Drosophila melanogaster: one gene and its partner. The protein of the gene in region 2 purifies or fractionates together with the protein of the main gene of each other region. This does not show direct contact. Each region holds a gene or a part of one and is shown on either strand. Other genes may lie near its edges.

The links.
Region 1: the proteins of PNUTS (region 2) and Wdr82 purify together in Drosophila melanogaster (affinity purification with western blotting, with the first as the bait; one study listed by BioGRID). This does not show direct contact.

What each region holds. Positions count from the first base shown.
Region 1 is NT_033779.5:8,372,714-8,376,049, reverse strand, and holds Wdr82 (WD repeat domain 82), read right to left. Parts: upstream 1,590-3,336; 5' UTR 1,524-1,589; coding exon 570-1,523; 3' UTR 501-569; downstream 1-500. Other genes in the region: CG13390 (uncharacterized protein), read left to right, coding at 1-488; CG17292 (uncharacterized protein), read right to left, coding at 1,922-2,066, 2,136-2,510, 2,762-3,169, 3,297-3,336. UniProt on the Drosophila melanogaster protein: Component of the SET1 complex that specifically di- and trimethylates 'Lys-4' of histone H3.
Region 2 is NT_033779.5:868,697-872,653, reverse strand, and holds the start of PNUTS (phosphatase 1 nuclear targeting subunit), read right to left. Parts: upstream 2,190-3,957; 5' UTR 2,102-2,189; exon of another isoform or gene 1,314-2,101; 5' UTR 1,081-1,313; coding exon 1,078-1,080; intron 1,014-1,077; coding exon 916-1,013; intron 849-915; coding exon 574-848; intron 447-573; coding exon 1-446. Other genes in the region: dbe (dribble), read left to right, coding at 2,878-3,915.

The DNA.
Region 1 (3,336 bases), 7.5 Mb from region 2:
CCCTACTGAATGCACTGACACGGGCCAAGCCAAAGGTTGCTCCCTACGCCTTCACCACGCTGCGTCCGCACTTGGGAACCGTCCAGTACGATGATCATGTCCAGCTCACCATTGCCGATCTTCCCGGACTCGTGCCCGATGCTCATCGCAATAAGGGCTTGGGCATACAGTTCCTAAAGCACGCCGAGCGTTGCACCTTGTTGCTGTTCGTGTTAGATGCCAGTGCACCGGAGCCATGGACGCACTATGAGCAGCTAATGCACGAACTCCGCCAGTTTGGCGGACGTCTGGCGAGTCGCCCGCAATTGGTGGTGGCCAATAAGCTGGACGTGGAAGAGGGCCAAAACAACTTTGAGGAACTGCAACGTCGCCTGCAAAATCCCGTGCTCGGCATTAGTGCCAAAATGGGTCATAATCTTGGACAACTCCTGAACAGCATACGTAGAGGATACGACCGCCACAAGGACCAGCCCCAGGAATCCAGTTAGAGGCCTCTGTTTATGTTATGTTGATTTATTATTTATAAATTAAATTGTAATCTTATAAGCTAAGCAAGCGGGAATCATTGCCTACAAGCCCTCCTCGGATGTGGGCAGCCAAAAAGCCATGTTGGTGCACGCGGACGCCAGCATCATGTATTTTGGATTGAACTGAACGCATTGCACCGGTCCCGGATGGTCACCATTCAGTACGGACACCTTATTGCCAGTGTCGGCATTCCAGATGTGCACTCGTCCATCGGTGCTGCCTGAAAAGATGAACTGCGAGTCTGGGCTGAAGCTTGCCTCGATGGGAATGCCCTTGTTGTTTGGATAGCCCGTGAACGTTTGTAGCGGAGTGCCGTGGAAGGCATCTACGAGCCGGATGACCGATCCATTCGTGCTGATCAGAATTGTTTTGCCGTCACGGGAGAACTTAAGGCCAGTCCAGTCGCATTCCTTCTCCTGATTAAGTTTAAATGTGACGAAGGGGCCTTTGTCGAAAGAGCGAAGGTCGTACAATTTAATGCTTTCCGAGTTAACGCCAGCGGCGAAGATCAAGCCCTCGGGATCGTAGGCAGCAATGGGTCGTCCAGAGAGATGCATCAGTCCCTGGCAGTTGGGCGAGCGCAAGTCCCACAGGCGCAGCGTCTTGTCCAGCGAGCCGGAGAGAAAGGTGTCCTCCACCGGCGAAATGCACAGCGAGATAACCTTCTTGGTGTGGCCGGGGAAGTAGCGCAGATATTTGTTGTCGTGCAGGCTGAGATAGCGTATGGTGTCGTCCACCTTGGTGGAGCTATGGATGGCCGTGTTGTTGGCGTGCGTAAAGTGGATTAAATCCACTCCATACTTCTTCGAGTTCACCGTGCGCGACTGCGTCCCCTTTTCGCAGTCGTAGATCACGATCTGGTCATCCTCGCTGCAGGATATTAGATGTTCGCCGTTGGGCGCAAAATCGATGGCGTTGATCTTGTCCGTGTTCTCTCGGAAGATCTTGGCCACCTTAAAACTGCGCACCACCGAATCTATTAGTTTTATCTTCATTTTAGCCTGTCGAATTTCGTTTTGTTGTCAATATGCTCAATTGTTGCAAACAATGTTATCGGTGGCAGAGGTTGACGGGTCGATAGCTGTGTTATCGATATCGCAACTTTCGAACTGGTTCCGGAATGAATTGCAAGAGCGGAACCAGCAACCAGATTTAAATTATTTGAAAGTTCAAAAAATCCATTCAAAAAAAGTAATTAATAAAACTCATTTAAAACCCCAAATAGTGCAATAATAATGTATAAATACCCCAAAGTAATGCAAAGTTTTTTTCAACAACAAAATTTAAGTATATTTTTCTCGTAAATCAAAATGTGGTGTAAGGCGTCATAGAAACAACAATATTAATATAGCTACATTTCATAATGTACACAGTGCAATTGTAGATGGTCTTATTAATTCGTTTTCTCCGACGGGCAGTCACAGGTGATGCTGTGGGTATTTCCCAGCAGATCCTTGGGGTCAACGTAGACAGTGCCCTCCTTGCCTCGAGCAAAAGGTGTATGTCCGTTGGTTTGTAAGTAAAAGTCGCCATGAATTCTGAAAATCACAATTTCAAATGATGAAACTAAATTCTGCGCTATGCATATAAGGCAAGTAGAAACTTACGTCGTGGGACAATGATGACCCATCACCACGGGCGGGCAATTCTCTACTATTTTGTTCTGCTTGAAGTCCGACCATTTCTTGGCGGGCACAGCATCGAATCCAATGGGATATCGATCCGAAACGCTCTCGGCCCAGAACCACCAGCTCCTCCGATGACTGGACAGATCGTTGTCGCTGAGCATCTTGTAGTTTCGCTTGGGACAGCCAGGCTGCAGGCTGTATCCACCATTTGGCCAGAAATCCGCCGTGCCCGTGCTCGTCGGAGCTCCGTACAGCCAGGCGTCCGTGTGTATCACGTCGACGAACTCCGCATCATTGGCAGACAGGTGCGTGCCCGGATAGAAGAGCGGAAATGCGGGATCCAAAGCGGAAATTCTATAAAAGAAGATTGGAGATAAGTGAGACAAGAAAAGGATTCAATATAAACTTTATAAACTTTGCCGAACAACGATTCTAAAAAAAAACTTTTTGTATTACCATATGGTAATACAAAAGTGTTAAGCTTTGGACATTAAAATTATTAACTAAATATCGTATATTAAACATCGTATATCATGACGTCGGCATAGACTAAAATCGAACCGAGCATGAATAAATAATTTGAAATCAAACCTCTTTCATTTTACCTTTTTATCTTTCTGACACCCTTGGTGCGTTTAGTAATCTCTCGGCCGAGGAGTCCGGCCAGCTGGCCGCCCATCGAGTGTCCGACAATGTGGAACTTCTCAATGTCCAGGCCATGGTCGAACATTTTGAGCAGGACCTTGGCCAACTCTGGGCCCAGCTGTTTGAGGTTCGGGAAGGCATCGAACATGTAATTGCCATCGGCCAGTTCACCCCAGTCTAGGACGATAAGATTGGTATCCTTTCGCTCCAGATAGGCCTCGGCTATGACGTGAATGCTCTCCACATCCGGATCTTCCAAGTAGCCGTGCAAATAGAGCACGGTGTTCTTGCCCAAATCCAAGTGCTCGTCCTCCAGAAGACTCTGGAAATCGGTTAGGTCATAGATATCGCTATCTGCCACCGTGGGTCTGTGAATAAAAGATAATGCTATAGGTGAATACTTGAATATATTTAAGAAATTTGGATATTAGTGCAATAACATGGCTTTATGTATAATTTTTCTTCATATTTACTAATAATAATATTAGTTCTTACCCATAATATAGTATAAACTTGGCTGTCGTTAGATCCGCCT
Region 2 (3,957 bases):
CCCAGACTTAACCTCCGCCGCGGAGCTACTATCATCTAACCCGGACTTTTTCCCCAGACTAGCATCTGCTAATAAGTGGGTTGCGGAGGAGCCCTTTTCCAGATGTTCCACCTCGTTGTCTTTCGATTGTGTGCCAGAATCCGTTTCGTCGCCACCATCTGGGTTGTCCAACAAAGGCTTCCACTTGATGGTAATGCTGTTGGAATTGCTACTGTTGGCCGCCGAGGTGATGGTATACGTCACAGGTGCTCCGGCGCTATCAGTGCTGTCTGAAGAAGAGGCAGAGTCCGGAACTGAAGCGGAGCCAGCTCCAGAAACGGATGCAGGAACCTGAGAGGCAGTAGTGGCTGCAATATGTGGCGCAGCACCTTGGATCGTCATGCTTGTGTTTTCCGTCACAATCTTCAGCCACTGCTCTACCAAACGCTTGGCTAGAATGCGTACACCTGGAAAACGGGGTCGAGAAAAGCCAATTAGTAATCCCTAGGTAATTAAAAGCATAAAGGACAGCCCAAAACATGACCCAAAAACACTAATCTACGACTAGAGTAAGACTTATCAAAGAAAACTTACCTTCGTTGCCGCCATCCTTGCACAGCCCCTTGACCAGAATAGGTGCTGAGTTTATCTTGAGGCGATTGACATCCACGGGAGAAAGGAGCAGCAGTTCCAGGATCTCCTGTACCAGCGGCCAGTTCATGGCCCTGATGGCATCATTTAACCAGGTGTAGACCAGCGACCAACCGCCCACCGCCATAAAGTCGCCCAATAGTTCCGTCTTTGTGGATTTCAGAATTTGTACATACACACATTTCGAGACGAGTTTTTTTGAATACTTGGCCATCAAACTGTGGGCGAAAAACTTGATATTAGCAAACGCCGATAGGTGTCGCTGCTGACAAGTGGTGAACTTACCCCGAAATGCGTTTCACCTCCACTGCACTTAAAATTCCACCATTATTGTCCAAAAGCACCCGCAGGCACCTCAGCAATTGCAGTGGAACTATACGAGGCTGTCGAATAAAAACATTAAATAAAGCACAACTGTTGTTGCATTTCCTAGCCAATATAACTCACCATTTTCTTTGTTAGTCGTGCGAAAGAAGAAAATTTATCTGGCAACGCTAACTCCCTATAGCCGTCTCTCTTCCACACTTGTAGGTGTGACCATACGCAACGTGTGCGCGTGTGTTGGATCGTGCGTGTGTGCACCGACACTCGCTTTTGTTGGTATGGGTGTCTTAATAGATACTAAATTTCCACTGATTACGTAATTCCATAAGAATTCGCTTTTTCAAGGACTGCAATAGTATCTAAAATAGGAGAAAACACCAGTCTGAGAACAAATTTAGCAGGATAAAATTTTGCTATATCCCTACAATTCACTTTTAAGACGAGTATTAAATAAATTCCAGCAGCAGCGCCAAAATATGATAAATGCTGTTATTTTATTGTCTCAACTGGCAGTAAACCAATAATCCCTCCGCTTGAATGTTTTGTTTTTTGTTTTGGAGCTGCAGAAAACGTGTTTTACGCGTTGCGATTTTTTCAGGCACTGATGAAATTCGGACGTGTGCTCGCGGCTATCGGTAATCGATAAGCCAGTGCAGCCCTGAAGGCTGTCCACTCTCAGAAAACCGAAAATTATATATTACGACGTATTGGTATTGATACGAAAACATGCGTTCGTCTGAACGTTTGTAGCACAAATGTCTCTCTACCTCGTTTTTGGTTACAACCCAAATTTGACTTTAGGTACAAGCAAAATGTGAAAGTTACTTAGTTTTTCTGTTAAAGCAGGTTGGCAGCGCCTTGCCACGCACACAACAATGACGCCATTTTGATTTTCACAATTTTTCACAAAGGCGTAATTAAATCCGCAGCCAAGGGAAATGCTAGAAAATTGTCTTTTAATAGCAACTTCAACAATATCGGCCACTTTATATTGATTTTTCTTTGTTTAATCCTAATTATCGGCTTTCGTTCACGTCCACGCCCCAAAATTGGACATGCGGTTAGGTCCGCACACTTAGGTCGAGCAAATCGGTAATAAGCCTTCCAGAAAATATATATTAAATGTACAATTGTTTATCGGCCTTACAATTTGTTAAATATTTAATTGGCGACGATTTTTCTATCTCTCCGAAAACTCCTGCGTGCGCTTTGCTTAGGCTCACAAAATCGTGTGACCTTTCCTTGCTTGAAAATAAAAGTTTGTTTAGAAAATACCAAAACGCATAGTCGGAATATGGTAATCTAATTAATACCCCTATTTTGAAAGTACAAACAATAATTATTTACTTAAAAACACTTTTAATATAAATGGATTTAGTTTCCCGTTAACAGTTTCAAAAACTATCCACGGTGGATAATAGCGAATGCTATAAAAAGAAATTTATTGAATTAAGATTTTAATTCATCTTAATTATTCTAACACATATAATGGCATAAGTTATAGATACCCTGAGCTCTTTTTCAATTAAATAAAATTTGTGAAGGTGTCAGGGCTAAATCATGTATTGTTTGACTTATTTCTTATATTTTAGATATTCAGAATTGCATATTTTATTAGTATTGATGTACCCAATATCCTTAATATTTGAGTTACATTGGAATCGCAATTTTGTTAAGGCATTTATCTGGCACACGATCAAATATAATTGTATTTGAATATATATTTTAAAACATTCTCAATCGAAAAATTTATTTTATAATCAAGATAAAAATAAACCTTTAAATAGGTAATCTATCAATAATATTAACCAACCAGTTTTCCCTGATATGGTCACACGCATTTACCGCTGATCTGGCAGCCTGGCCAAAACAAGCGTGCAAGAATCTTACCTGTAGAATTAGCTTCTGAAAACTCGAGTAACGATGAGCGAAAGTGAAGCGGAGGAGACCAAAATCAGCACCGAGCCGGTGGACAATGCGTGGTCCATGAAGATCCCTGCCTTCAGGCAGGAGGACAACCCGCATGGGATGGTGGAGGAGAGCTCCTTCGCCACGCTGTTTCCCAAATATCGGGAGCGCTATCTTAAGGAGGTTTGGCCTCTGGTGGAGCAGTGCTTGGCGGAGCACCACCTGAAGGCGGAGCTAGATTTGATGGAGGGGAGCATGGTGGTGAAGACCAGTCGCAAGACCTGGGATCCCTACATCATCATCAAGGCGCGGGATATGATCAAGCTGATGGCCAGAAGTGTTCCCTTCGAGCAGGCCAAGCGGGTCCTGCAGGACGACATTGGGTGTGACATCATCAAAATCGGAAACCTTGTGCACAAGAAGGAGAAGTTCGTGAAGCGGCGACAGCGTTTGATCGGACCTAACGGCGCCACCCTTAAGTCCATTGAACTGCTCACCGATTGCTACGTTTTGGTTCAAGGAAACACAGTCTCCGCCTTGGGTCCTTACAAGGGCCTTCAGCAGGTGCGGGATATAGTCCTGGAGACCATGAACAATGTGCACCCCATATACAACATTAAGGCTCTGATGATCAAGCGGGAGCTGATGAAGGATCCGCGTCTGGCCAACGAGGACTGGTCCCGATTCCTGCCCAAGTTCAAGAACAAAAACATTAGCAAACGCAAGCAGCCGAAGGTCAAGAAGCAAAAGAAGGAGTACACCCCATTCCCGCCCAGCCAGCCGGAGAGCAAGGTGGACAAGCAGCTGGCCAGCGGAGAGTACTTCCTCAACCAGGAGCAGAAGCAAGCGAAGCGCAACCAGGAGCGCACCGAAAAGCAGAAGGAGGCGGCCAAGCGCCAGGACGAACGCCGAAACAAGGACTTTGTCCCGCCCACGGAGGAGTCAGCTGCTTCAAGTCGGAAGAAGGAGGATGGCTCCTCCTCCAGCAAGGTGGACGTGAAGGCCCTGAAGGCCAAGCTGATCAAGGCCAACAAGAAGGCGAGGAGCAGCTGATAGTTTTCCTAGTTTTAATTAGTAGTAGGACCTATTCAATAA